Linked DNA regions of Rhinolophus ferrumequinum. The protein of the gene in region 3 purifies or fractionates together with the protein of the main gene of each other region. This does not show direct contact. Links are inferred from orthologs where the notes say so. Each region holds a gene or a part of one and is shown on either strand. Other genes may lie near its edges.

Region 1 (10,619 bases), on a different chromosome or scaffold from region 3:
GGTTGCTATAAAAATTCTCCAGTGTCACTTTGGTCATTGTCACCCTTTCCTTGGTGTGATTACTCATGGAGGAGCAAGGTGTCGAGCCTGTCATTGCCATGGCTGCTAGATACAAAGAAAAGAAGTCATATTAGTTTTGGAGTTAGAATACACCAATTACGTGTGCCCCTACCCTACTGGTAGGAATGTAAATTGGTACAACTCTTCCGGAGGATAAACAAGTAATATTTAACAAATGCCAGATAAACAGAATACTTGGTGAAAATAAGTATATATTAATGTACTATGACTCCGAAATCCCATCCTTAGGTAAAAGGCCTAGAGTAACTGTCACACAGACTCTTAAGGGGACATGCAGAAGGATGTGCATTACAGAGGATGTTCATCATGCCATCATTTGTGTTATGAGAAGTTGGAGGCAATTCAGTAAGAAAATAAATAAAAATGCTGTGAATGCATACAAAGAAATACCATGCAGCAGTCAGGAGCAAATCTACCTGTACCTAAAAGTGACATGAATATATCTTTAAAACAGTGTTGTATGTTTTAAAAGGAAGAAAACATGATCACAATACCATATGTGGAAATTAAGACTACATAATATAGACACAGTATAATTCTTTGCCATCTAGAAATCTCCTCTGGACCTATAAGGATTCATACACAAGAGGCTTCAATGCAGCACTGTAAACAAAGGAAAACTAGAAATAACTTGAATATGCACAACAGAACTCGTTATGGAAAAGTCTTATAATGAATTATATGCAGACAATGAAAATTTGTTCAAATGTCTAATGTCAGGGGAAATGTTTCCAACCCAAGTGAAAAGAACAGGTTACAAAACAGAACGTATACCATGAGCTAAATTTTATTTGTGTGTTTACTACACGTGCACAGAATTATTAGAAATACATACATAAAAATGTTATTAGCGTCTTAACTCTAGGCAGTAAAAATACAATAGATCATTTTATTCTTGTTTATGCTTTCCACTTTTTCTATATTTTATTCAATGGGCGTGTACTATTACCATTAAGTTACCAATAACTTTTAAATTTACAATTTCTACAGTTTAAAAAAATTCTATGACTCAAATGTACATCTATATGTATATATATACTCTGATATGTCTTATGGTATTTGATAAATGTTCACTGTCTATTTGAATCTACAAGTCAAAATAAGGACCTATGATGGAAACAATATTACAAAAAAAAAAACCTGAATCATAATTTTAATGATGGAAGATACCTTAAAAATAAGGGACCTTAACTGTCTAGTTTTACAGATGAGAAAACCGATACCGAGAAGCTTTAAATAGCTTATAGAACATTTTTTCCTAAATTTAAATCTCACTTTCCCCAGAAATTTTTGCCAACCTATATTGTGACAGTTTGCCAGATGGCTCACCAGCACTTGACTTGCTCCAGCACTGGCAACAAGGCTCAATATTTTATCCTGTCATGCCTTCCTTCCACGCAACCTTCCTCTAAGTCTGTCTTTTCATCCCAAAATAAAGCTGAGTAAAACTCAGGAGAGGCCAAGATCCATTTTCAAAGACAGTGCATTTTATGAAGTTTTCTGAAGGTTCTCCCCTTAATATATCTCACCTTTTTTGTTTTATAAATTAAACTAAGACTTTTAAGCAATGTGCAAACATTTGTTACTAATAAAACGACTTAACATTAAACAAATTTATAAAGTGGTACTCAGCGAAAAACACAAAGAATAATCCTTTCAGAGCAGAGATTCAAAATCAAGGCTCTACTTCAGAGTCAAACATTTTGATTTATGATGTGCCAAAATGATCAGTAATCACAAATTCAAGACATTTAATTCAGCTCTACCTTACTATAAAATGCTATTTTTTATGGAAAGTTTCTGCTAATACCAAAACAAACGCAAGTGTTTTTAGGATATCAGAATTAAAAAAAAAAAAAAAAACCACAAACCCCTCTGTTTGGTTTATAAAGCTTGGGTGTGGTTCCTTATTTGTCAGCCCTTACCCCTCCACCCACAATGAAAACCACATGCACTCGAAGGTTAGTGAAGAAATTTTAAAACCAGATTTAAAAACAACTCTGAAGCAAGTGAGCACTTTGTACTCCTCCCTTGTCTGAAAATTTCTGGAGACCCTTTATATATTTTAACAACTTAAATCACTTCCACTTAAAAATACAACAACTAGAGAGAGTTTAAGCCTGAGACAAACAGTACCTTCTGTAGAATAGGCGGTTAATAAACGTAAGTTGAGCAAGTTAATGATTTTTCAGTTGCCAATAAAGCTAAAAGAACAAAATTACATTTACATTGATGGCTATATAAAACTGGGGGGGAGGAAGTTTGACCCATTTGAGTCACTGGCATGACTTACTCAACTTTTAAAAAGATCAACAACAGGCAATTCAGTGCACTCAAAGATGCTCATACAGTAGGCCAACCAATTGTCTAGCACAATGGTTTTCAGCCCTCACACACAGTCTCTAATGTAAGGCAAAGGTTGCGCTGGCCTTCCCTTTTAACCTTTCTTCAAAACTTCCTCCTCCACCTCTTCCTTCACTCATAAAACAGTTAGCCTAATTCTAATAACCTTTCATCAAAAGATACAATTACTCCTGCCATATAGCAATTTCCTTACTGGGCCAACCAAGCACTTTTTTATAAGACAGGGCTTTCCCTCATGTTTTTGATCATTCAAGCCTTCGTGCCCTGACCTACAGGCCATCGGAAGCCCTGGTCCTGTTGGTTTCATCCTCCATCTCTGCAGAACTAGGGAATACTAGGTAGGTGAGAAATTTTTAAAAGTTTAAAAAATTTAACGAAAGAATGTGATCCTAATAAGTCACGGGTGGGTACAGCAATCATAAAAGGAGATCAAATGAAAACCATTGTTTTATTTAATCTACATAGTTGTGCCTGGTTGGCTGATTTTACAATGGTACTGTGTTATCTCTATAAATACCCCCTCTCTCACCAATTCTTTATTTCTTTCTTTGTGACTGACAATCTAATTATCTTTCATTTGGACAATGCAACAGTGGGGCTAAGACTTTTCCTTCAGAGTCACCTATCTAATTTCTTCTATTAAACTGTAAGCCACTGGAAAGCAAGCACCTTGTCTTAGACTCCTTGTTATATCCTTCCCCATCTCATGCACAAGGCTAGGCGATTAGCGAGCACCTTATAAAAGGTTTACAAGGAAAACACTCATTGTGTATGACCATTACTAGGAGTTCAGAATATGTATGTGTGATGGGGACACGCTTGGGACATGGAATGGTTTTCTATACGGGGCTGCAGGGCAGCGTTCTCCTCCTCTGAGGAAGGTAATGGCTAATGTTTGGGGTGGGAGCCTGTTACTGCGGTGGTTTGATGTTCAGGGCAACCACATCTACTGCCTGGCTAATTCTAACTCAGAACCAAGGTGAGCTGAAAGGGACGGGAAGCACCGGGTCTCCGCCACGCCAACCTCCCTCTGCACACTTCACAAAGAAGTTTCTCTTTGTGTCTTTTAGTCAATTCAAAGTGCAACTGGGAGATCTGATATCTCCACCAGCCTTCTGCACACTTTCTGACCCAGACTTTCCTCTAAGTCCTTAGTGACTTTCTTTTTCCACTCTCTTCTTCACAAAAAGGGGGGGTTGGGGGTCTTCACTATATTTTCCTGTGATTTTAAGTTATCTGAAGCCCAGCACCCTAAGACTACCCATGGGGAAGGTAGCAGACTCAAAGTTACCACACCCCAAGGTGGGCTTTCGACATCTCTGCCTCACACAACAGCTCTCAGGTTCTTAGACCCCAGAAAAAAAGAAAAGGAGGTGAAAATTGGAAAGGAGCGGGATCCAGAAGGGGACTGACTGGAGGCAGAGGGCAGACAAAGCTGGCAACACGCAAAGGAGAGAGCCTGGCTCCCCACCCCAACTGCACACGAAGAAAGAGAAAGGACGGGGTGGGGGGCCTGGGGCTGACAGACTATGGAGAGCACCGACGAGGAGACCGGGAGGAGGGGGGCTGTCAGAAAGCTGAAGAGAGCGGCTGAGGGACCGAGAGGCAGGGCTAGAAAGAGGGCGCAGTCGGGAAGGAGAGAGTCCCCAAAGAGTCGGGGGCAGCGGAGATGAAGGGAAAAGCCCGGGATGGACTGAAGGCAGCAGGACACTCACCAGACCCCCGAGGGAGGCAGGGCAGGGGGCGGCGGACAGCCGCAGACGCCGGCCGGGCCAGCGGTCTCAACGTGCGGACAGGCGAAGCCCCAGCGGCAGCAGCCGACCGGCCAGACGAGAGGAGGGGACGGGTGAGGGGTTCTGAGGTAGGGACGAGGGGCGGTTGCGGGTGAGGACAACAGGAAGAGTCCCAACTGCCGGAAAAGACGGCAGCGCGGAGGGGCCAAGGCAGCCGTGTTCCCCGCGGCGGAGAGGGACTGGCGCGGCGGCCCGGGGCCGAGACTGCGCAAGCGTGACTTCCCGGAGACGCGGCGGGGACTTCGGGACTGCGCGTGCGCGGCTGCGCCCCACCTCCCTCCACTCCTCCGGGTTTTACCAGAGCTGAGAGGTGAGGGCAGAAATGTGGGGTGTGGGGCGGTCCCGGAGTGGGCTGGGCTGCAGGAGTTCCCTTTGTGTTTTGTGCTTTTTGCTTTTTGTTTTGAAATAATTACATACTCACAAAAAGTTGCCAAATTAGTACGAAGAGGTCCCGTATACCCATCACCGACCCAACTTCCCTCAACATCTTACATAACTATACTACATTATCGACACCAGGAAACTGACATTGGCACAGGGCAATTAACTAGACCGATGCAATTAACTAGATTACAGCCCTTACTCGGATTTATCCAGTTCAGCATACACTCATTTGTGCCTGTATATGAGCGCGTGCCCGCTCTCAACTGTAGTTCTGTGAAATTTTACAATTTTTGTAGTCGTCGTCCTCCGCCCCTCCCTTGATTTTCAAACTTTGGAGCGCTAGGTCGGCTGGAGCCCTTGGCCCCATCTACTCTTCCTTTAAGTAATGATTAACATGCCTTACATTGGGATCTGGCGAGGTCTCCTAGGTTTGGACATGGGCCACTGGGTGAGCGTTCTAGTGTGCACAGATGAACCTGCTTTTCACCGCTTCCCAACCCCTCAGTCTGTACCATCCCTTGGGATAAAGAGGTCCCAAGTTTACTAGCCTTTGGGCAGTCACTCATTCCTCGAGAAAGGAGCACAGTGCCCTTGACCAGAAAGCGTCGGGCTCCTGGAAACAAAGATAGACCCTGCCTGCCTTCAAAGTGGCCAGCTAGAGAGCGGAAGAAGCAGGTGTGCAAGTCGTTCATTAGGCTGTTTTGTGATATTAAGGTGCCTCTCTCTCTTGTGTAACTGTTTGTAAGACCATAGGTCTTGGTTTTATCCTTCAAGCTTGGGGGTCCCAGGCTTTGTTTCCTTAATGGTCTTGAAAACATAGGCCTTCCTTGACTGCTTTCATCTTTCTACACTTCAAAGCCCAGTTTACTTTGTCTGAGCCTCATACAAAAACTACTTCACCGTTCATTCTGTCTGTCCAGAGGCCCTTCTCCCCCAATGCCTTTTGTTGAAGTCCTAGCCAACCTTAAGGACGTCATAACAGTGCGAGATGTTTGCATAGTGCTTTGCACCTTACAAACCGCCTTCACTCATTTTTATCTCAGTTGATCCTCTCAGCTCTAGCAGGTTACGTACTAGGATGAGGTGGGGTTTTTTAGGTTATTTTTTTCCCCATTTAATTTTTATAATTTATTTTAAAATTATACTTGACATGTTAGTTTCAGGTGTACAACATTGTGGTTGGACATTTATATACCTTCAAAGTGATACTACAGTAAGTCTAGTAACTATCCCCCTAGTTTTTACAATATTATTGACTATATTCCCTATGCTGTACATTACAGTCCCATGACTTATTTTATAACTGGCAGGTTGAACTTCTTAACCCCTTTCACCTTTTTGCCCAATCCCCACCCCCTTCCACTCTAGCAACCATCAGTTTGTGCTCTGTATCTACGGGTTTGTTCATTTGTTTTGTTTTTTAGATTCCACATGTAAGTGAAATCATACAGTATTTGTTTTTCTCTGTTCAATTTAGGATGAGGTTTTACAGATGAAGGAACCAAAGTGATGTGCCTGAATTCTCACAGGTAGTAATTTAAGTAGCAAAGCAGAGAACCCCATTTTCTGACTGCAAATGCAATTTTCTTTCTGCTTTCCCTTTTCCTTCCTCTAAAGCCCAAGTCAAACCTTATCTTCTCCTTGGAGCCTTCCCAGTTTCAGGAAAGAGATTTCGTTCTCTGCTTTCTATATTCCTATATTCATTTATCTGTACCCCCATTCTAATTAATAACTACTAAAGTCTTTCTCAAAATAGCCCAGGCAGAACATGCTGCTCTCTGCATGGACCCAAACAATGTCATTTTACCATGATTCCAATAAGTATAGTGGACATTTGTCATTCTTTTTGACCACCTGAATCCCTTTCATGTGTTTCCTACTTCTCACTACAAAACTGAAAATTCCAGGTATGTTCTCGCCTTGACTCCCTCGCACCTGGAGAGTGGGCATAAAACCTAAGTGCCACCAATCACTTTCACCCACCCCAGACTGTGAGTTGAAGCCTAAGACCTGACCATACACTTGTAGGACTTGAACTCATTTGGCTTCACTCTAGTACTGGTGTTGTCAGATCCTGCCTTTATTTTAAGTGTTGATATTTTGTTCATCATCGTGTTTTTTTTATTTTTATTTTTTTAAATATTGCATTAAAATATCACCTTTATTACTGAGTTATTTGCCGCCTTCATAAATCTTGTACCAGGGCAAGTTTCCAGCTCTCCTCAACCTACCTACTTCAGGCCCTGGAAACCCACTCTGAATCCTTTCTGGAGAGAGTGGTGGATATTCCATATAGTAGTCGCTAAAGACCTCCACAGAGGTCTCAATGACCAGAATTGCATCACATGGCCACCCTTCCTGGGAAAGCAAGTACTCAGCTTTTATGCTCTGTAATGAAGGCAGACAAGAAAGAAAGGGGTTGAGAATGAATATTGGGTTGTCCAGCCAATAACGTTTGACATCGTAGTATACATTACTTTGCTGTTCTCTTTTCATCTAACTTGCTAATCTAAATGGAGAATTGACATGTAGCAGGACCGTTATTAATTGACTTCTGGTTAATGGGAACACTGAACAGAGTCAATTCCCTTATATTTCTGTATTGCCAACCTATATGGTCACACTTGGCCAGATAAGTTTGTTAACCCTTTTATGAGTGGAGGAAGTCAAGGAGGTGAGTGTCTTGCTCACCTCACCCTATATTTTCTCTGCCATCATATAATTGTAATATAATTCACCTAATCCAAGCTTCTCAGTGTTATAGCAGATTTCTCTAAAATCTCTTGGGGAAAAAAAACAAAACTTTTTTATAGTATACTAAGTTATTCTTCCCCCATGGGACTTGAGTTCCTTGATTTCAATATTAGCACCTTTTTGTCTTGCTCTTTTCCCCAGTTTCAGACCCACTAGCCTTTCCCTTCTCTTTAAACATTGCCCCAAAGTGTTCTTTGTCCCAAGGGAATCGCTTGCTTCTCCTCCATCATGCTGACCTTTGACTGCTTCGCCAGCTGAAGCTCAGTCTATCAGCAAAGACCACAACCCTCTAAAGGACAGGCAGTATGTGTCCCACCTACTGGGGCAATGACATCAGTTGTCTCTGAATATTCCTTCCATAAGAGGCTGGGAACTGAGTTTGGTGTCTGCTACCCCAGTGCTTCTCAGACTTTAACGTGCACACAATTTCCCTGGAATTCAGTTAAAAATACAGATTCTGATCCAAAAGGTCTGGATAGAGCTGAGATTATACATATCAAACAAGCTCCCAGGTGATGCTAATTCTGCTTGCTGGTCCACGTACCACACTTGGAGTAGCAAGGGACTGGAACATATTTCTAAGTGTAAAATAAGAAGGAGAAAGTGCCCTCGATCCAGCAGCCCTGGGTCCCTACCAGCACGAGACTCTGGTAAGGCAAGTGAGGCACCTAGGGCACAAAATTGAAGGAGGCACTGGAGCTCAAGTGCAGCCCCTGCTCTTGACAGTGAGTGCCTCACACTGTGCATCCCAGGCACCTCACTTTCCCCTCCTAGTGCCTACCTTGGTCTTAATACCAAGTAACATTTTGGTCGGTTATGCCTCCAGACTATGTTCTGATATACCCATAAACGCATATGAGATCCTATTGTATATGATCATGTTATAAGTGATTATACCTACCATATTACATGCACAGTATTGTACTCTTATTATTTATCCCTTTATATCTAAGTTATGCTTTTTTTAAATCCTCGAACTCTGACACTTTAATCTCAATAAGTTCATTTAATTCCTGTTCCTCTAAAATGTGCATAAATTGCTTTCTCTTAGTGGAAGAATTATGAATGGTTCTTATTTTCTTCTTTATACTTTTCTGTACTTTCCACATTTTCCACATTGAACCCACATAACTTTGAATTTTGTGATTTGTTATCAAAGTAATACACGTATGGATTTGAGAAAGACCAAACCATCTACAAGACTTAACAATGATAAACAGCACTGCTTTGCCCCACCCATCCCACCGGATTCACTCAGCTGAAGCAGCTGCTTTCAATGCTTTTAGTTCTTTCTTCTGCCATTTACCTTCTTGTTTCTAAATGACATTGCTACTTCTTAAATGTTCGGTTTTAGATATTTTTTAATTTCCTCAATGAAGATGAGGATTTAACTCACACCACAACTTCCACATAACTTCTATGACCACCTTTCTCCTTAAATCAGTATTCAGTGTTTACAACTAAGCCAAGTGGGGCAGAAAAATTACTGTCTTCTTGTACCATTTGTTTTGTTTTTCCTGTAGTTCACAATTCCTTTGGTTTTTCTTCCCTTGCATAGTTTTGTTTGAAAATATCTATCACTGATTTCTCTGCAAGCTTTATGCCAAAACTGGAAAACTTTTCTCAGATTATGGTCAAACTCACAGTCTCCATGTTTTTTTCCAGGGTCATCTTTTCTGGAGCCCTCTGTATTTGTTAGGGTTCTCCAAAGAAACAGAACCGATAGGAGATACAGATATGGACAGAGGGTGAGAGAGAGAAAAAAACTGATTTATTTTAAGGAACTGGCTCACACGATTGTGGAGGCTGGCAAGTCCAAAATTTGTAAAGCAGGCTGGCAGCCTGGAAACTCAGGCAATTTCTGTGTTGCCGTCTTGAGGCAGAATTCCTTCTTCCTTGGGAAACCTCAGCCTTTGCTCTTAAGGCCTTCAACTGATTAGATGAGGCCCACCCACATTATAAAAGTCAAGTGATTGTAAGTCAATTTAAAGTCAAGTGATTGTAAATGTTAATCACATCTAAAATATACCTTTACCACAACATCTAGACTAGTGTTTAACCAAACTGGGCACCATAGCCTAGCCCAGTTGACATATAAAATTAACCATCACACTCTTCATCCTTCTAAGAAATTTCTCTTCTCCATGGTTTTTTTTCTTTAGTGTCCCCTTCCCACTTAATTTCATAGCCCTCCCTTTAAATATCAATCATAGCTTTCAGTAAATATTTTCCAGGTGAATAAAGACAACCTGTCAGGGAATTGTGCTGGGGTAGACAAAGTGAACGGGAGTCAGTGGGTACCTTCTCCACCCCCATACAGCTGCCTTCTCAACTCCATTTCTTTCCCACACTCCTAGGAGAGCAGGATGGAGAGTGCAGAACTCAGAGAGTACATGCTCTAGGGTGACTGCCAATAACCATGCCTGGCCGGGAGAAGGAGAATTTATTTGCAGCACCAGTCTTTCAGGGAAGCATTAGAATAATTAGCCAGGTCTGCAACAGCTATCTGATCATTTTTATCCTAATGCTTAGGCTACAAACCTGAAAACCTCAAAGTAAAGAAAGTACTGAATGGAAAGACAGCTTTTCATATTGTTCCTTGGTTTCAGACTTACAGATATGACAACACATTGTACAATGAGGGTTCTTATCATATGGTTTTGCCTGCTTAGAGATTTTTATTTTCTTTGAATGCTTAATGATAGGGCCAAAGTAATAGAGACGTCTTAAGAAATACAGATTTTAAATTAATTTTTTCCAAATGACTCTGTGTTTGTGTGTAGGGGGGGCAGTGTGTCATGATGAGTCAGTGTTTCTTTGGGAATTGAAGGGAGAAAATCTCAGAAACTAATGAAGGATGTGAAGTATGGCAGATCTAGCACCCAAATCATGCATCAGCTTTTCCCACCTACCTGTTTGGGAGTGAAAATATTAAGAGGGAGGAAACTATACAAACCTTATGGAGCAAGGAGAAAAAGAGAACTGTATTTTCTGTAAAGCAGAATGACAAAAAGAATGACAAAAAATTCCCCAAAGCAAAGCTAAATCTGAAAGCCAGAAGTGAAAAGGATGAGACGTCCACTGACGTCTCTGTGCTTGGATGGGAACCTTCCTGTAAGACAAGGGAGTTTCTGAGGCCCCCACTGCCGAAAGGCTGGCTTTCCTTCTGCTGGTGGGATGGAGAGCTGTATGAATCACAAGACTCTCAGGCTCCCTTAGGAATGTGCTAAATCTTCCCATATT
Region 2 (10,386 bases), on a different chromosome or scaffold from region 3:
AAAAGTGGTAAAGCAAAGAGCAGGAGATTTATTCCAAAGTTAATGGATACTTTCAGGAGAAAGGAGCTCTATAAACACAGGTTAGAACTGTGATTAAAGTATTTCTCCACATTTCCGTCCACATAGGCACCGAGCTCAGCGAACTGGCTTTTCCTGGGACAGAAAGACACACCAGAGGGAGGGAGCCCCAGGGCCGGACTCCCACACGGGGTGGGAGGCAGCGCTGGGCACAGCGGGACGACCTCACTTCTGAGACAAGCATGAGAGAGAGGGCAGGGTAGGGGAGGCAGGCCTGCTAATCTGGAATCTGCCCGGAAGACCTCAGGGATTCTGTCCACTCCCTCCCCTTTACAGATGGGGAAAGGGGCCCAAAGAGGGGAACTGGCCCCAATACCCCAAAACAAGTCATCGATGAAGCAGGGTTTACTCTGAGCAGACAGGGTCTGCCCGGCCCAGAAAGGGGCCTCCTGTCACTGGGGCTCCCACTGAGGTCAGGGGGCACTGGGTGACTGGTGCCAGGTGAGTGTCCCTCAGTTAGCTTTCTGGGGGTTCCAGTGGACTCTATCTGTGTGTGTGTGTCTGTCTGTCTGTCTGTCTGCCTGCCTGCCTGCCTACCCCAGAGCGCCAGCCCTCTCCCCCAGAGCCCTGGAAGGAGCAGTCTCCTTATCAAGACTCGCACGGCTGAGCTCCAGCTATGTACCCGCCCAGCTCCGGGAGCCAGGCTGGCAGCCAGGCAGCAGGGGTGGGGTGGGCAGCAAAGGGCTCCCCCAGTTCTCAGTCCCAGTCCCCACGGCCCAAACCCTCAGGCAGGGGAATGAAGCAAGAGGGTCAATCTGGAGCCTACTGGAAACTTCCCAGAGTGTCAGTCCTCCCAACAGCCCCCAGGCTCACCTGAAAGGGGGTCCCCTGGGCTAGCAAAGAGGGAGAACAGACACAGCCCCTGCAATAGCACCTCCTTCTGGGAGCAGGAAGGGAGTCAAGGGCCAATGCTTTATCTAGAATTAGACATGAAGAATGTTCTTGGAGCCACCGCCACTGATAGTAGGGAGACTAAGAAGGGAGGTTACTTGTCCAAGGTCAAGTTGTGTTACTGGCCAGGCAGAGCCTAGAACCAAGTCTGTGGTTAAGCACCATCACACTGTTGTTTGCTCCTCAAATTGTACCTGCCCAAGTGTAAGAAACTCAAACCAACACCCAAGCTGATGTCTCATCCAAGGAGCAGGGACCCCACCCATCCTTGGCAAAAGTGGGTCCTGTCTGTGGTCTTCAACTTTTTCACTCCACCCCTTCCCACTCACATGTCTGAGTTCCCCTGGCACCTTGACTCCCAGGTGGCCTCTGCTACTCAGCACCCACCCTCCAAAGCCTTGCTCCAGGTTACAGCAACAAGCTCCTGTGTGTGAGACCCTGTTACAGACACACGTCGGGCCTCCTTCCACAGAGGCAGAAAGGAGAAAGGGTGGCTGGCAGAAGGGAGGAAACCACTGTCAGGAAGAGATGCAAGAGGCACAGAAAGCTCATCACTGATCAGGAACTGCCAAAATCTCCTGAATCCAGCCTGGAGTAACTATGCGGGGAGAGTGCAGGCGGATCAAAGCTGCCTCTCCCACCAGCCCCCAACCGTGACCCACCACAGACACCTTCCTTGGCACTGCAGCCACCACCCCACACACACTCCTAGGCCCGCCCTCCACTTCCACGTTGCGAGTCAGACCTGTGATCTGACCCTCTATGGACCCCCACGCCGGGTGCTGATTCTCTCTAGTGGGGCCACACTGGAGAAATTCCGAGCCCTCCCACACCAGCAGCCTATAACTCTCTGTCATACCCCTGTAGAATCCCCAGTGTCATCTAAGATGCTACACCCTGAAGATGCTACAGGCTAAAATGTGTTTCCTGCAAGCTTCTGGCCTGCCAGGAACCTCCACCTGTCCTCACCTCTTCTTCAGAACCCAGGGCATCCTCAGGTAAGCAGGGCTGGGGGTGGGGTGCAGGAAGTCCCAGGAAGAGAACAAAGAAGGGGAGTAGTTCTCAGATGTAATAAAATACCTGGCTTCCTCACCTACTCACAGATGCCCCCAGAACCCTCAACTATACAAAAGCTGGACACAGAATTGAGAATGATGATGATGGAAGGCCCTGGCATTTGACACTCAAGGGATGCTGGGCGCAATCAGGGCAAGAGGGTGGTCTCCACTTTGAGAGGGGTTACCCTGCAAAAGCTTTGCTCCAAATATACAAAGAAACAAGAGGAACGATTTACAAACACTTTGACTCTAGCCATGGATTGTTTCCACCCAATTTCACAACTTACATCTACTTGGATATAGTAAAGTATCACATAGATACAGGCATATGCACACAAATGCTACAGGCCTGGGCACAGACTGGGGGTTAATGGGGGGGACACACAAGTCTTCGGCTTCTCCTAAGCCTGCCCTTCCCATTCACTGTTTATGAAGTTGGAGCCTACGTTCCGTCCCTGAAACTGCACAGAGAAAACTCAACCATGTAGCTTTTTAAGTTTGCCAGAGCCTTGATGAAGTTGCCATTTGACGTATGTGCCCACATCCCCACTCCCTGGCAGGACCAGGGTGAGGCTCCCAGCCTCCAGGGCACCCGCAGTGTTCCACCAGCCCTAGTTAAGTGTCTGGGATAAAAAGAAGGCCACGGAATGGGGCTGGAGGTAGACCCCCAAGCCCCCCGCCCCCCGCGCCCCGCCAGGCGCGGCGCGCTCACCTGGCCCGCAGAGCCGGCTGAAGTGGTAGGGGTTGCAGCACACGGTAGGGCCGTCGGCGGCGGCGGCGAAGCTGTGGCAGCCGCACAGGGGCTTCAGCTCCACAGCGTGCTGCAGGTCTGGCCAGCGGAACAGGCGGCCGAGCAGCAGCTGCGGCGGGGCGGGCTGGCCGCCCAGGCGGAGGTCGGCGCGCGGCACCAGCACGCAGCCGCCCGGCACGCCACCGCGGGACTCCACCGCCTCCAACAGCGTGTCCAGCGAGCGCTCCTTGAGCCGCTTCAGCAGCGAGTACGTGACCGTCTTGAGTTCCTGCTCCAGCAGAAGCAGCCGCGAGCGGGCTTCGCGACTCCGCCCGCTGCCCGCCGGCTCTAGGGCCGCCTCCGCCAGGGGGTCGCCGGCGTCCTGGGGTGCGCCTGCGGCGTCCCGCTCCGAGAAGAGACAGCAAGTCACAGTCTCGCAGTCACTTTCCGGCAGCCAGCCCGGGCCTCCCGGCTCCGCCACGTCCAGCGGGGAGCCCCCAGCGCCGGCCCCTGGCTCCGACATGGGCCTCGGGGGGCCCCCTGCACGCCGGCGCCTCCCCGCGCCCTGGGCGCCTCGCTGTCCCACTGTGTCCCGGGGCCGCCGCGGGGCTACCGGGCGGACTTCGGAGCGGCCGCAGCCTCCGCCTTCTCGTGCCCGCGGGGCCGGCTCAGCTCGGCTGCCCAAGCTCCCATCCTCGTCGCCGCCGCCGCCGCTGCCGCTGCCTTCCTCCCGGTCAGGGACCACACGACTTCGCCAAAGTCGCCGCACCAGCCCCGAGCGTTTGGACCTGAACATACGATATCCTTTGGCGCCGGGGGTGGGGGGGGGAGGCGGTCTCCGGTTACCGGGGGTCAGTTCCTTCAGCGAGGCGCCGGCTGCGCGGGCCGCAGCCCCACATGAAGCTCCGCCGCCGGGCGCCGTGCAGACCGCGCACAGCCTATCGTCGAAGGGGCGCCGCAGGGCTGCAACATGAGGGAGCTCGCCGGGGCGGGCCGGCGGGGAACACTCGCACGCCGAGCCACAGTCCGCGCCCGGCCAGCGGCTACATGGACCCCGGCGGCCGGGCTACTCAGCAACTCCAGCCCCAGCGCTTGAGGGGTACCGCGGGCGACGCGCCGCCAGCAAGTCCCCGCATGGGCCGGCGACCCTTCAAAAGTTGCGCGGCTGGCCCATGAGCACAAAGCGCTCGCGCCGAACCCCCCAAATGTGTCTGGAAAGCCCTGCCTGTAAAACCCAAGCGCTTAACTACATGGACTTTTCCTGCAGGATCCGAAAGACAAGCTTGTTGATATCCCCAGCTTCCTTACTCCCTGGAAAATAAAAAAGAAAAAAGAAAAAAAGAAACCCCAAACAAAACCAAAATCCCTGCAATTGCATGCACGAAAGGCCAACTCCGTCTCAGGTCTCAGGCGCTAGATGCACTTGGAGCGAGTTTCTCCCGAACGCGGGTGACAACACATGAGTGGAAACTGTAAAAATCCCAAAGAGCCGCTGGGAATCCTTAATTAAAAATGCAATCCACCAAGGTAGAGGTCACAGCCCTCCCCACGCTGCGCTCGGACGCCCAGGGCGCCGCGGCTGCAGAGGTCGCCCCCCTCCCCCTTCACAAAAAGTGCCTCCCGGTGGCCCCGCGGTCCCGGCGAGGTCTGGCGAGGCAGCGCCCGGCGGCTCTTTCTCTCTGCTCGGCTCCCTCGCTCGCTCCCCCGCTCGGCTCTCTCTCTCTCTTTTTTGTTCTCCTCAAACGCACACTGAGGGCCCCCGGAGGAGCGCCGCGGAGTCATTGGCTGCCTCCCATCATATGCCAGTCTAGACACTTTGGCGGCTCCGCGGCGCTGATTGTTGCGCAAACAAGGTTTCAAGTTTCTTAACTCTTAAAGGAGAACACGTCCCATTGCAAGGCCCGCGGCTCCGAGGGGCCGGCTCCCGGGGCGGGCCGAGCCCTGGCTCCCGCCCTGCGCTCGCCTCGGCACCCCCTCCCGGGACCTGACAGCGCCCACAACCCGCTCTCCGGCTCGCGTTGCGCCGCGGGCACAGATGCGAGCGAGCACACGCGCGCGCGCACACACACAACACACGGTTACACGAACCAGGGGCGCGCGGTGCAAGGGTCCACCGGACCCACTGAGACTCGGACGCAAACCGAGTCTTGCCTCTCTCTGGCCGGGGCACAAACTTAGAAACACACATTGCATTTTAGATCGGTCCAAACCCCCATCGCAAGGAAGGCTAATAAAAATGGGTGCGCGTGTGAGCCTTCCTAGCTTGCGTCTCTTGGGAGCAGGGGGCAGCTGGTTTGTTGGGGTAGCGGGATCTTCCGTGATGGCACGAGGTCTCCACATCCCCTGCGCAAAGTCAGGGGTGGCTCTGCTGGGCCAAACCCAGGGCGTGGGACGCTTCGCGCACGGGGACTCCAGGCTTGCCCCAGGTAGGGAGTTACAGAGGGTGGGGTAGAGGCGGGGAGTGTCTCCTCTCCGGCTGCTTAGTCGCCACAGCCCTCCCTCGGAGCCAGGCGGGCCGCCAGCCGTCCCGGGCCCCCTCAGGCTGTTGCTTCCTCTTCCCCCTTCCCCAATTTATTCTCTGAACCACGGAAAGGAATGTGGGTAGGGGGTCGTGCTTTCCCCAGCCACGTTTCGCAACGGAAATAGGGGTAGGCTTGGGGACGGGGTCCCTCCGGGTGTGGGACGAGCTGGGGGGCGCGGCGGTAGCAGCAGGCCGTCCGGCGCGGGAAGGGTTAAGGCCGGTCCAGGCCCTGGAGCCGGCGCGGCGGGGTACCTCCTCGGGCGCGCTCGCTCATCCGAGGGTGGCAAAAGTTCAAGCTTGTAAAGTCCGGATTGGTCCCGCGCGGAGGGAAAAAAGGCCCGGTCCCCCCTTCCCCCCCGGGCGCGGCGCCGATTGGCGGGGCCACGGGGCGGGCACCGCCCTCTCCCCTGCGCGCGGCGGTCCCGCCCCCGGCACGGCGCCCCGCCCCTTTCCGGGCAGGAGCCGGAGTTCGGCCCCTTGCTGAATGAAAGAAATTCCGCTACTCCGATTGGCCCGGGGCTGGGCGCCATTCCCCCACCGGGGCCGCAGGGGCTCGGGCGAGCGGGTCTTCCTCGGGGTGCCCACGTGTGGGCATGGCCTTCCGAGTGTGCGGCGGTGCGAGTCCCCGGCCCTGAGTCTGTGTGCGCTGGGGGAAGGGCAGTATTTGCAGGAAGGATTCGGAACCATTTGAGCTTTACCTGGAGCCAGGTAGTGCTGGTGCTGCGCTCTCTGGGGGAGGCAGTTGCTCTCCCGAATGGAAGATTGAGCTGAGAGGCTTCCCCACCCTCATCCCCTACTACTTTGGCTAAATCAAAATAGTTGTCTTTGGCTCAGTTTTGTGTTTGAAAATGGGAATGATGATGCCTGCCCTGCGTTGTTCACAGACCCATATAGATCCTGGGAGAGAGTGCATTTTAAGAGGGCAAATCCCAAGTGATCGGCAGGATGGATTTTCACAAGTGAACACACACCTGTGTAACCAGTACCCAGAAGACGACGTGACCTGCACCCCAGAAGCCTCCTCTCTTGTGGCCTCTTTTAGTCACTTCTCGCCCCCAGGGAAATTAATGCATCTTAAAATACAAGGAGAAATTCAATGTACTGTATTTTCTTTTATCAGGGTATTTGCTGGTTTGGCTGTGGATTACAATAATAGTTCATGGTACTGAGTCCTTACTATGGGCAAGGCAATGTTCCAAGCATTACAAAGATTTAGTCATTTAGTTCTCACAACAACCCAGATAGGTATTACCTCCATTTTACAGATGAGGAAACTGAGGCACAGGATCTTGCCTTTCAATTTGCCATTGAAATGACGGTATTGAAAGTGCTGAAATGTTAAAACCCAAGGGGCATAAACCAGTATGGGCTCTCACCCCCAGCGGCCAGAAAGTGGAGTGTGGGTCTGCGTAGCTAAAGCACAGCCTTCAGAGCAGCTATTTTCAAACTGGGGCCCATTGGGCTTGCTGTATCAAAGAATATTGAGGGGAGGCCCGGGACTCCATAGAACAGCACTTTGGGGGTAGGAGGTATGGTTGTTACCACAAATTTACAGATAAGGACACTGAGGCACAGAGACATTAAGTAACTTCCACAAACTTGTTTAGTGGCAGAGGTGGAATTTGAACCCAGCCAGTAATGGCTGGGGTAAGGGGTATGTATGTTAAATACACATGCATGCCCCTTACCTGTCCCATTCCCTTTGCTTTCCTAATGGGCCAGCAGGCAGGAGACAGATTACCCCACAGGGCTTCTACTAATGCTCAGCACCTACTCCTGGGGGCAACTGTGTGAACCGTGGCTCTTTCCCTTCCATCCCCCCCAAACCTCTCTGAGGTACAATGGCATCCTTTTCTGCAGCGTTCCTGGGGAGCGCTGTGAGAGATGCCTGGCCTCTGTTGGGGCCTCAGGCCTAGGAGAGACTGAAGCATCCTAGGAGGACTGCCTTCTTTCCTGAGCAGTAATTTGGACCAAGTTTGGCTTCAGCTCTTGCTCATTGAGAGATGTGGTATTGGGGGTGGGGTGCCATTAGGGGCTATTTGGATGAACCTGAAGAGCAGTAAATCCAGAGTCTGCTAGGCCTGAGTTCCACACTGACCCTACTTAACCTTTCTCAGCTCTGTAAGCCTCGGGGTTCTCATCTGTGAAATGGGAGTAGGAATCATGCTTGAGGTGGTTGCCAAAATTGGGACATGAGGACCCAGAGTCATCCCTCCTTATGGGAAGACTTCTTCTGAGGGGAGATAGTATCAAGAAGGGAAGGGTGGTGACAGTCATTCCCACTGTCCTTGGATTCCCAGGGCCCATGCAGCCTAGTACCAACCTGCACTGTGACCACAAGAGGGTGTGTGCGGTGGGGCCCAGCAGGGCAGGGCCGTGGAGCTACAGCCCCTGGAAAACAAGCTCCAGTTTCTTGGGGGTGTAGAAGCAAAGAAGTAAGTCTAACCTCTCAGATTCAAATCTAACCCCTCCCCATTATTCCAATTTCCCCCAAAGCACCCTGCATTTCCCCTTGACAGCACTCCTCACAGTTTGTAACTGTACAATTCCTTGTGGTTCTCCTCTGCCTCTGGAATGTAAGCCCAACGTGGGTAGAGATAGTGAAACTATCAGGCACAGGCCACACAGCAGCGTGGAGGGAGTGGAGTCAGAAGCAGGCCATTTGATGCCATTCTGTCCATGCCTTCAAAGAAGCTAATTTGCACAGGACAGCGCCTGCCCCATTTCTCCTCCCCAGTCTCCCTAGCACAATGCACGTCACACAGTGGGTGCTCAATAAATATTTGTCATGTGGTTGAACTGTAATCCCTCACTTCACCAAGCTCCATGCTCACCATCATCTGGTACCAAACACTTATATGCACTATCTCATCAAATCCCCCGAACAACATAAGAAGTTATTCTTATCCGGCCTAGTTCTTTTACAGAAGGAAAGCAACCAAGACATTCAATAATTTGTCTCTGGTCACACAGCCAATAGGTGGCAGAGTTGGGACTTGAACCCAGGGCTGCTTGAGGTAAGTGTCCATCCTCTTAACACCTGGTCCTAGAAAAGAAAACATGGTCCTTTGCCCTTGGGAAGTTTCCACATTAGCTAGGAAGACACAAGGCATGAAACAAATCACATAAGGCAGAGCTTGCTTCTTGGTGGTGGAAGGGGTAGGCTCCAGGGGCCACTGCTTCTGAACAGAAGGTCACAGAGGGAGTTTGGGCCACCTCTCCTAAAGTCAGATGGAGACTAATTCATCCTAACCCACTTCACAGGAAACTGATGGATAAACCAAGGTCCTATTTACTAATTTTTAAGGAGAATAACTTAAAACTTAGCCCAACTGGCTAAGTGGTATTGTCTGCCCTTTAGGAAGGTAAATCTACTTGGCCAACATGTCCCCAAATGGAGGAGTTGGGATACCCTTGGGTGGTAGACAACCCCTCTGAGGCTTTGATGAATGCTATGAACACCTCTCTTGAAAAATGCACATGTGCATGAATGGAAATTTGTGTTCATTCATTCGACACATGCTTACTGAGCTCCTAATGGGTTGCCAGGCCGTGTTCTAGGTGCTAGGGATCCTACAGTAAGTAAAACACAAACATTCCTGAGCTCAAGGAGTCTCGTGGGAGGACAGACAGACCATAAACAATCAGCTATACGGTGTTTTGGAAGGTAAAGGTGCCAAGATCAAAAACAAAGCAGAGAAGAGGAGAGAGGAATGCCAAGAGAGGGTATAGGTGGTTCAAAGAAAGTAGCCGAAGAAGGCTCCCCAGAGAACATGATATCTGAGCAAGGACTTGATGGTGGTGGGGGAACTGCTATGACACCATCTGGGAGAAGAATGTTCCAGACACAGAGAACAGCAAGAGCAAGGATCTTGAGGCGGGACCGTGCCTGGCGTGTTCCAGTACCATTGAAGAGGAAAGGAGATGGGAGAAATACTGGAGGCAGCCTGTAGGCTGACACCGGCCATTGTTGGGTCTTTGGCTTGTCCTCTGAGTGAGCCAGGAGATCGGAGGTTCCGAGTGGAGCATGATCTGCCTTGCTTTAGCTGGCTCCCTCTAGCGGTCCTGTGGAGAATAAACTGTAGGGGGCAGGGTGGCAAGGGGCCTGGTGCTGTGATCCAAGGAGAGGTCATACTGGTTTGGGGAGAATTGGCCAGTTCCTGGACATATTTGAAGCTAGAACCAGCATGATTTGCTGTTACATATCTAAGAGAGTGAGAGAACGTCTGAACAGTGTACACATGTTATCAACGCTTATTCATTTTTAAAATCAATTCACTTGTATTTAGCCCTATCATAAGCTGTAATATCCATGAAGTCACGAATGTCCTAGTTATATTTATCACTTTAAAACAAATACATAAAATATGTTTATCTGTGAATGACCTGAAATTATCCTGGGAACTACCAGGATACATGCAATGTTGAGAACACTGGTTTAACCAATTCCTAACCTCACCCACTTTTAGGCATTTTTGTTTGTTTATTTATTGGCTTTTTACTACTTTCCCTCAGAGAGAATGATTTTCCTGGTCCTGTCTATAATTATGGGGCCCATTACCACAGCCTCTCTAAATCCACTGCTGGTTTTACTATTGCTGCTCCATGCAGCCTGTGCTTGGACAGTACAAAGTAATAGTTCTTAACCATTACTTTAGAACCATTACTTTGTTGAACCCAACAGACCTGGATTCAAATCCTGCACAGCCATCTTTTACCTCTGTGGTCTTGGACAACTCTCTTCACCTCCTGCAATAACCCCCAATACTGTGCTATTATTATTCCCAGTTTATAGATTACAGATGGGGAGCCCGAGACTTAACTGGTAATAATAATACTGGGAGGTTGTTTTGAAGATTAAAATGCTTAGCACAGTGCCTGGCATCTAATAAGTTCTCGGTAAATGGTAGCTATTAGTGAAATGAACATGGAGCCAATCATTATCAGGTTGAGCCACTGAACCAACCCTGCCAACTACTCACTCCCTAGGAGATTCAGTTTCCTCATCTATAAAATGGACCTACTTGACTGAGTTAAATAGGTAAAGTCCTGACACACTGTAGGACTCAGCAGCTCATCGTGGGAAGTGACCTGGAGAAGGAAGGTGG
Region 3 (9,948 bases):
TGCATCTGTAGACACAACAGTAATTCCAACATTTTAAAGAAGAAGATTTGCCTGATCCACATGGTGAGAGGCTTTTGTTTTGCCAACACAGCCCAGCAGCTCTTCTTTGACTCGAGTGGCCTTAGGGACTGGTCAACTGGAGTCAGAGTGTCGTGGACAAGAAGCCAATTTAAGTTTGGGGTTTCTCTCAATAAAATTCATCTACAACAAGCAAACCAGTAATTTAAGTTGTTCAGTGACCTCAAAACACACATTTTTTTCATTCTCTATTTGTTGAAAAATATTTAACCTCTAAAATGGTTTTGAAATTTGATCCAAATAAGAATCCTAAAAGTTAGGGTTTCTCAACTAGAAAATACCAAATTATTTCATCCATTTCGGAAGGTCTTTTGAACGTCCCTTTCAGCACTCACTAAAATGCACAAGTCAGCTATTTTAACTTTTAACCAGTGCCCACAAATGTGTTACACAACAACCAGCCTAGTTAACTGGATCATTGAGCTGATGTTGAAATATTATGGGTGAGTCTTTTATTATTATTATTCATGAGGAAATACATTTTGAAGAAGTAACTCAGCCCCCAGAACCTCCCTGGGTTACCCGATGTTCCACACTAGATAGAACCTGACAAGATGACCAAACAGAAAAAATGAAAATTTGTAAGAGAAGGAAAACCTCGAAGTCCAGACACCACTCTGATGGTCGCAAAAATAGGAGTTTTGAACTTTGACAAATAAATAGACTTGAAGTTAAAAATTGTAATTTGATAAATTAGAACTACCGTAAAAATACAGACAGAAGTAAAGTATATATTTCATTTCTCAAATCTGTTAGGTGAGTCAAGAAAAGTAAAAAGAATGAAAATGGATTTTTAAAAAAGGGTTTTCTAAAGACAACACAAATGTGATCAAATCACAAATGAAATCAATAATAGAACCTGTATTTGGCAGTATATGACTCCTTTTAAAGTATAATTGTAGTTTAAGTTTTGTAGTAGTATTTGATTGAACCCATCCCACATCCTTAGATAATTCAGCTCAAAGAAGTGTCTCGACAGTACCTCATAAACTTGAGGCCAACCCTGAGGAAAACACACAAACTCATGCGTAGCACATGAAACTCCATCTTATCTGAGTTAGTTGGTAAAAGTTTCTCCTGCCTTACATAGGGAGGTTCTTTACTAGGAGAAACTGACAAAGGCAACACTCTTAATAGATTTATCTTTTTTAAGAGAAACATAACTATTTTGAATCAATTAGGTCACCTGTTACTGATCAATGAAACTTATTAACAGTTATTACTACGACTATTTCTCTCCAAGTTGCATCATCTGAATGTCAGAACACAAGTCAGCCTCACATCATATGTGCTACAACTTTAAAAACAGCCTCCATTCCCAAATGCTACCACGGAAGGTCTCTTCCCACCCCACCCCCCACTTGGAATTAGAATTCTTCTCTCTTCACAATACATAGTCATGCTCCAAAACATATAAAAACACAAGGAGGTCTGAGAGTATTTCAAGGCATAAAAGCACAAAAAAGTTTAGTCATTTGGTGTTTCAACTAACTGGTTAACATTAGAATAAAATTTAATTTGAAGAGCACTGTGGAACACTTAGAGCTCAAAATTCCATTCTTTTACCCAAAGTGGCCTAAATAACATATCTGGGATTCATTTGTGTACCTCATAAGAACAAAGTTTTTGCAAATCCTGCTTGAATTTAAAATGAAAATGTTTCCCAAGTGTTTGATTTGCCAGTGAACTCTAAAATGTCTGCAAGATAATGCTCTTTAATAAAGATCACTCGACTTTAAACATATTATGCCCCCAAACCTACCGAAAACTTTACGAACTATTATCCTGCTAAAAAACCACAGACGTTCATTAAAATTATATTCTTTTACATATAAAGACTCAAATATTCTTTTGTTTAGGCCAGGTTTCCAAAGCAGTTCAGCATATTTTTTTTAAAAAAAAAACAACGGGGTTCCACAGGAAGGAAAAAAAAAAGAAATCATAAATGTAATCAATACACAAAAGTAATGCTTGGCATCAAACATGACTCCTGTGTTTTAACACAAATTTCTGAATATCAGGATCGAGCCCTAATAGAAAGTACAAGCACCCAACAGTAATTTGGAATAAGCCAAATTGATAGATCCTGTGAGGAGAATTAAAGAATGCTATAAAAGGAGCTGAAATCTCATTTTACATGAGGAAACTGAGACTCAGAAAGGTTATATAAGTTGTTCCATATTATGCAGTTTATGGCAGATCGGACCAAAATTGATTCTCAATCCAACGTTCTACTTACCACCAAATACAACTCTAGACCCGAAAGTTCTAAATGCTCTAACTCTAATATCCTCATATTTTGCATTGAATTACGCTGTGTGCTATTCACTAGCTAGAATAGCTCTCATTTCTACACGTCATTTGTTCAAGTATCACACGTGGAAATAGACTCTGAAACCTGTAACAACAAAAGTATACGACTTTTGAAAGATGTCCATCCAACTTGCCAGAAGTGAAGAAGATATTTCAAACTCCCCCTGGCAACATAAAGATGAAGCCAAAACCTAGCCTGTCTTCAACAAAATATCGAGCTCCAACGTTTCCACGTAAATTAACAGACAACTGGCATCACGCGTGTCGGCAGTCATCCCTAAACTCTCAGTTCTATTGCAGGGATGACCATACTCACAGATCCTCTCTTATCACCAATAACATTAGGTGGGAGAAAGGGAAAGGTGTTTCGGAAAGAACACTCATCACCTGATCCTTCACTACCAAGTGACATTAAAACTCTTTAAAGAATTTCTACATCTATGACATATAAATTCCTGAATCCAAAAATAATCTGAGAGAACAAACCAAGTCTTCCCTTTCATGAGGAAAAGCCCTATCCAGACCTGACTATTAGGATTAATACATATACACCTGACACAAACATTGTAATTAAAATCTATTCCTTCTAATACATTAATCACATTTCCACCAAAACTCACAAAATCAGTTACTTTTGCTTTTAACAAGAAAATTGAAACAAATCCGATGTCAATTATAGGTTACTTTGTAAATGAAAGCCAAATTAAAGTTGTCAGTAATTAAAGTTTTACAAGCATTGCAAAGTTAAAAATGTGGCTTTTATGTAACCATAAAAATAACAATGTATATGCATCTATAAAATGAGAAGTGTTTCCTACCAGAATAAAGGGTTATGTTTCTCTAAAAGTAAAGATCCATGGGATAGGCCTGTTACTTTCCAAAACCAGGATCTGGTTTTGGGTCTGAATCATCTGATCCGCTTATATTATCTGATCTTAACCTGATCTGACATCTTTATATATACCTAAAACAAATTATAACCCTCCTCTTGAAACAAAAGATGGATCATGCAACAACTATGGACTTTCAAAGGAAATTTTAGTTAGAAAAGAATCACCCATTGCTGTTTTCACGGATTTTACTGATGATTTAGGGCTATGCATCTGCCATGAGGTGTCCAAAACGCTCACTGTCTCTTTGAGAGGGGATCTGATTTTGGAGTCCTCACCAGACTGCCACTGAACAGAAAAATCCTGGGGAAAACCCCTTACAGGGATTAGCCTGAACTTTTTATTTCCTTTTCAGAGCTGGAAATATTCGCGTTTGGAAAGTCCCCCAGTAGAACAGTATTTGCAACACGACAATCTGGCCTCAGCTATGAATTGAAACTGGGAGACGAGCAGCCGCCCCATAATGCTGAAGAGAGAGAGAGAGAAAGGGCAGATGAGGGTGCAGACGGGTCCAGGGCCTCTGGAGCCCGCTGGCGAGGGGCACCTCCACCAGACACCGCTGGCACCTACACACATCCAAACCACCACGTCGCAGGCCCACAGCAGAGCTTCGCGCTCACCCTTGAAGGTGGCACTACAGAGCCACCTAGAAGGCACCCACATTTCATTGAGACTAAATGAGAGTGAATCAAGGAGCCTGCGCTAGAGCAGCTACCTACCATAGCCTCCAGTGTGTGGGGGGTGTGGGGAATCAACGCCCAATCCAGGCTTAAGGATGGGGGGCGGGGGGCGATGGTAAAGTGCAATGCAGAAAAGGAAAGCATGCAAGAAGCACAGTCAAGAGTAGATAGTGGCCTGGCCAGGGTGAGAAAGGAAGTGGACTAGACTGAAACGGTCTGAACCAGAGGGGAAGCGAGCAGAGACCCGGGAGAAGCTACAAGATAGGATTGAGGAATTCGAGGCTGAAGGAAAGGGTGGAGGCCCCGAGACAGAAGCAAGGGGGCGGGGCTGGGAGATAGGCGAGGGCGGGGCTAGGGAGAAAATGAGGGGCGGAGTTCAGGAGGAAAGTGAGGGGGCGAAACTAGGGGAGAAGAAAGGGGCGGGGCCAGGAGGGGAGAAGCAAGGGGGCAACAGGGTAGAGGGGAAACCAAGAGAGAGGATGGGAAAGGAGTGACAAGTGGGAGCGGGCAGGAGGGAGAAGCGAGGGGGATGGTCTGGGGAGAGACCGGGAAGCCAGAGAGGATGGGAAGGTGGTGAGAAGAGAGGGGCGGGGCCAGGAGGGAAAAGCGAGGGGGCAGGTGAGGGGAGAGGAAAGAAAGCGAGGGGAGGAGTCAGGAGGGGAGAAGCAAGGGGACACGGGGGAGGAAAAGGTGGAGAACGAGGAGGATGGAGGGGAGCAGCGAGGGGGCAGGTGGGAGGGAGGAGGGAAGCGAGAGGACGGATGGGGGGGGCTATGAAAACCGAGGGGGCGGGGCCGGGGAGAAGCGAGGGGGCGGGGCCGGAGGGAGAATCGAGGGGCACTCGCCCAGGGGGGTGATGAGGTCCTGGGACAACGGCCGGCGTGGGGGAGGGCCACTTAAGCAGGGCGCTCCGCGGGAAATTCCGGGCCGTGCGGGGTGCCAGTGGGCGCTGCGGGGGGCAGTGTGGGCCTCCCACCCGCCGTACCTGTCAGACGGATCTTGATGCTGGAGCCGTTCCTGCGCGTCCCAGGGTTCGACATCTCCCGCCAACGATCGTGCAGCCGCGGATCCAGCGCCGCCGCCCCCCGGCCCGGCCCGGCCCAGCCCCGCCGCCGCCGCCTCCTCAAGGTTACGGCTCCGGGCTGGGCGCCGGGGTCCGAGCCGGGACACAAACTCCGCAGCCCAGGCGTCCGGGCGGCGGGCGGATGGTCGAGCCGGAGGATCGGCGCTCCACCCGGCGCCCCGACCCTCGCTTGCTCCCAGACCAGTCTAGTCCGGAGCCGCCGCCTCCACCACCTCAGAGCCGGACGCTCGCCGCCCTCGCCGCTTCCGCCGCCGCCGCCGCCTCCCGGAGCCGCGCGCGCTCCCGCCGTCGTGCCGGCCCGGCCCCGCGCGCGCGCCCGAGCCGTGCGCCCCCGCGCCTGCGTGCGTGCGCGTCCCCGCGGGAGAGGCGGGGCGCGCCGCGCGGCTGCATTGCCCGCCCAGCCTCGGGCGCGCGGGGTCTGGAACCTGTGGTCTCTGCTTCCTGCACCCCCCAGGCCGGAGGCCACTTCGCTGGGATCCCGAGGAGGCGGTCGGGGCCCGGAGTCGGAGCGCGCCCCGGAACCCTGCAGCCGAGGCCGGTGCAATGGGCTGCGGGGTTGCGGAGACGAGGCCGCTGGCAGTCAGCGCCAGGGTTGCCCCGAGGCGGGCGGGCGGGACGGCGCGGCCCGCATACGGTCGCCTTCGGTTTTCGACACAGTCTGGGAGGAAACCTACTTGCAGATGCGGACGCTGAGGTTCAGAGAACCGAATTGATTTTCCAGGTTTCTGACTCAAGGCTCCGCGCTCCTGATCGTTATTGAAGTGATGGTTACATGAACCCGTGGCCTGTTACTACACCAAGCACCTTCTACAAATAGGCAATATTTTCTCTCCCTCTGTTTTGTTTTATTTTATTTTAGTTCATTTTATTTTATTTTATTTTGGGCTTTTAGATAATGCAATTTCAAGGGAGTGACTTCTCAAAGAGACAAAGTCCTCTAAATGTGTTTGGTACAAGTGCTCTGTATTGACCTGTAACAAAGTTGCCAGAATCACAGGAAATGCCACATTTGGACAAAGTGTGCAAGATTCGAAAGAAGGATAAAGTGGAGAGGGAGATGTTTGTTATTATCCAGTCTGCATAGAATTTAACCAAACAAAACAGCAGCTGTACAGCCTGTGTTTCCCTGCCTTCTGCTCACATTTCCATTCCCAGAGTTGCCGGGTAGAACTAGAAAGTTCGTGATGCTTTCTCCAACAAACCAAGTCCTCTCTTAACCTGTTATAGAGGGGAAATAATTTGCTCTTCGGAAAAGCTGGGTTAGTTTACCAAACTCATTTTTTTTTTTTTAATTGGGGAAGGCGAACAGGACTTTATTGGGGAACAGTGTGTACTTCCAGGACTTTTTTCCAAGTCAAGTTGTCCTTTCAGTCTTAGTTGTGGAGGGTGCCATTCAGCTTCAAGTTGTTGTCCTTTCAGTCTTAGTTGTGGAGGGCACAGCTCAACTCCAGGTCCAGTTGCTGTTGCTAGTTGCAGGGGGCGCAGCCCACCATCCCTTGCGAGAGTTGAGGAATCAAACTAGCAACCTTGTGGTTAAGAGGACGCACTCCAACCAACTGAACCATCCGGGAATTCAGCGGCTGCTCAGCTCAAGGTGCCGTGTTCAACCTTAGTTGCAGGGGGCAGAGCCCACCATCCCTTGCTGGACGCGAGGAATTGAACTGGCAACCTTGTGGTTGAGAGCCCACTGGCCCATGTGGGACTCGAACCGGCAGCCTTCGGAGTTAGGAGCATGGAGCTCTAACCACCTGAGCCACTGGGCTGTTCCCCAAAACTCGTTTTTTGACCAACTACCTAACTCTTTGAATGCATTTATTTGGTTTGTGTCCTAAGGAAACCATGATCTGAGCCATGGCTGCCATCCCCTGCAGCCTTGGGCCTTTTCTGAAGTCACAGTCCAAAGTAGAGCCCTCTCCCTAGAGCCCCTTGACACGTCTGCCTCTGCCTGAGCTCTGAAAGCAGTCTCCTGGGTTGGACTCCAGGGTTCTTTGAGCTTCATCAAATAGAAGGACGGGCCTATGTCATTTCTCTGCCCCACTGCAGCTCAAACTGTCAATGATTCCAGTGGAATATCCAAGAATACAAGCTATGTTTAAGTAACAGGGCAGTAGATACAGAATCCAGCTCTGTTTCTCTGAGAGTGAGTCTCGGGGTCAGAAAAAATCCATTTAGTCTCTAACGATCCAAGTAATCCCCATTCCTCTTTCATCCAGTCAGTATTTCTCCGTCTTCATTTTCCCCATACTCAATTAGTCTCTTTTTTCTAAACCAGACTAAACATCTCTATGGCCATTCTTCTGATCCCCAGCTGTTTTCCTGACCAAAAAACCTTTCATTTATTAACCTGTTTTCTTACCTGCCTAGACGTCTGGACCTTCCTTTGCTTGATTGTTTCCTCAACACCCAAGTCTGGAGGTCACTTGTGGAAGTTACTAAAAGTTATTTAGTTTACTCATTAATAAGAAATTGTCACTTAACTAGATACACCTAACAGTGTCTTTCAACACAGCCTACACAAGCAGCACCTTCCTAAATGGAAGCTAATGTTTTATTCATTAGCAAACACGGGCCACCCATTATGTGGCTAGGGGCAAGGAACACAAATAAGTCACAGCTATAGCATTTCAGAGGCTCAGCTGACTGGGTGAAACACGAAAACAACTGACAACCACACAATGATGGAAATGCGAACAGAGAGCTAGAATGTAGATTACAGGACAAGTCTGCTTGGGATCAGAGAAATGGGGGAGATCTTAGAAGAATCATGGAAGTCCTGATGTAGGGCTTAAAGGCAGTGTTTCAGTTTCTTGGGCAAAGAAGTGGGGAAGGGCATTGTAGACAGATGGAAGAGCTTGTGCAAAGGCAAGAAAATGAATGGATTTCAGTGTAAGCACGGTCACGCAGCTGCTTTATCTTCCATCTTTACACCCCACTCCATTAAAAATTGGTAGATGATGAAAGATATTTGCCCACTTAACAATCATCAGGCACGATTTTGTGCTAAGGCTGTGGGCCAGCCCGTATATTGAACTTAAGGTGTACCTCGATATCCTCTCATCCTGCATCACGTTTATCGAAAACACTATCTTCTAAAGATAGCTGGAACAAATAGTTGGGAAATGTCAAACAATTCTGAGACAGAGATGAAGTTCAGTGAGTGTCTTCAAGTATCCTTTTTGTAATGACCTTACAAAAGAGCAGTTTTGACCCTGCTTTCTATGTAGAATTTGGCAGCTGATTTTATTTCCCCCAGATGTATCACTTCCCTGAGTCAGTGCTATTGGGCATTTGAAACATTTTCCAGTGAAAAAAAAAATCTCTCTTTGGATCTGACTGCAGTCATTCTTAACCTGTTTTTTGAGTCCCAAACCTCTCGGGAGAATCTGATGGAAACAATGGACCTTTTCCCCAGAAAAACTCGTATGTGCAAATGCACACCAAATTTTGTATCTGATTTCAGTGCGTACATGATTTCCTGAAACTTGTGGCTCTCATAAGGTCTCATAGCCCCTAGGTTAAGAAGTTCTAATCTAAAGGAAATGATCAAGCAAATTACACTGGGAATGTCCTGAGTGTATTTGTTTAGGAGCCAGCACAGTTGTAGCCCCTTTTGAAAGCAACGGGTATGCTGAAAGGAGGGCAGCTGTCACCCACACAGACCCATACTACCCTGGCTCCATCATATTGCCAGAGCAAGTTAATTAAATTCTCCAAGCCTTACTTTGTTCATCCGTAAAATGGAGATAATGCCTCTCAACTCAAGTTAAAATAAATCATGGATTTAATTTAAATCTTTCGTTTAACTGAAACCATGGATTTAAATTAAACCATGAATGTAGATATAGCAGTCTATTACATCAGGCACTCAGTAAATGGTAGCTGTTAGTACATGTAAAATGTGTGTCTTTGCTCAGAAACCTGCTGGTGCTGTGACCCTGGGGAAATCTGTTTGGGGTGTTGTGCAGAAGGTCCCTGGCGGGGGGGGGGGGGGGGGGGGATGGCTGACAAATGCCTCTTGAGAGCACATTGTTGTTCCTGAGCTGGTGCCTCTGGGACCAGTGGCTAGATCACGTTAGCCTTTAAGGTCTTTTCTAGATCTAGGTCTCGTCTTCTTTTGCTTTTCACCTGAACATCAAGTTTTTCAAACCATTGGATGTACAAAATTGTGATTAATTAGCACATTTATTTATTCTTTTATGCCCAGAAGACTTCAGGATCTTCCTCTAAATTACAACCTAAACTTAATATTACCACTATGCAAGTCTTACTATACTATGACCATTGGTATGGTTTATTACTTGAGTTTTTTAATTGAAATTTTTATTGAGATAATTGTAGATTCAGGTGCAAGTTGTAAAAAATAATACAGAGGGAGCCTCGGACACTTCGCCCGGTTCCCCCCATAGTAAAAATCTGCAAAGTCGTTGTATAGTATCACAACTAGGATACAGACATTGATACAATCCAACAAAATTCAGATTTTCCCAGTTTTACTTGTACTGGTATGTGTGTTAAGTTCTATAGTCTTAACACCTGTGTAGGTTGAAGTATCCACCACCACACTCAAAATACTGAACAGTTCCAACACGATGATCCATCATGTTTATAAACACACCTTTTGCCCCACTCCCAACACCTGGCAACCACTAATCTGTCCTCCATTTCTAAAATGTTGTCAGTTAAAAAATGTTACATGGGTGGAATCATACAAAATGTAATCTTTTGGGATAGGTTTTCTCACTCAGAGTAATTCCCTGGAGATTCATCCAAGTTGTTACATGTATCAAGTTCATCAAGTTGTTATATATATATCAAATAGTTCATCATCCAAGTTGTTACATGTATCAAGTTCATCATCCAAGTTGTTACTTGCATCAAGTTCAACATCCAAGTTGTTACATGT

What was found.
Region 1: the proteins of SMURF1 (region 3) and STK38 purify together in Homo sapiens (affinity purification with western blotting; 3 studies listed by BioGRID, with this or other methods). This does not show direct contact. The link is inferred for Rhinolophus ferrumequinum from reciprocal best matches to the Homo sapiens genes SMURF1 and STK38.
Region 2: the proteins of SMURF1 (region 3) and SMAD6 purify together in Homo sapiens (affinity purification with western blotting; 4 studies listed by BioGRID). This does not show direct contact. The link is inferred for Rhinolophus ferrumequinum from reciprocal best matches to the Homo sapiens genes SMURF1 and SMAD6.

What each region holds. Positions count from the first base shown.
Region 1 is NC_046286.1:6,427,456-6,438,074, forward strand, and holds the start of STK38 (serine/threonine-protein kinase 38), read right to left. Parts: upstream 4,445-10,619; 5' UTR 4,161-4,444; intron 106-4,160; exon of another isoform or gene 103-105; 5' UTR 101-102; coding exon 1-100. UniProt on the Homo sapiens protein: Serine/threonine-protein kinase that acts as a negative regulator of MAP3K1/2 signaling. Converts MAP3K2 from its phosphorylated form to its non-phosphorylated form and inhibits autophosphorylation of MAP3K2.
Region 2 is NC_046289.1:44,340,462-44,350,847, forward strand, and holds the start of SMAD6 (mothers against decapentaplegic homolog 6), read right to left. Parts: upstream 4,704-10,386; 5' UTR 3,554-4,703; coding exon 2,740-3,553; intron 1-2,739. UniProt on the Homo sapiens protein: Transforming growth factor-beta superfamily receptors signaling occurs through the Smad family of intracellular mediators. SMAD6 is an inhibitory Smad (i-Smad) that negatively regulates signaling downstream of type I transforming growth factor-beta.
Region 3 is NC_046307.1:6,350,878-6,360,825, forward strand, and holds the start of SMURF1 (E3 ubiquitin-protein ligase SMURF1), read right to left. Parts: upstream 5,069-9,948; 5' UTR 5,002-5,068; coding exon 4,947-5,001; intron 1-4,946. UniProt on the Homo sapiens protein: E3 ubiquitin-protein ligase that acts as a negative regulator of BMP signaling pathway. Mediates ubiquitination and degradation of SMAD1 and SMAD5, 2 receptor-regulated SMADs specific for the BMP pathway.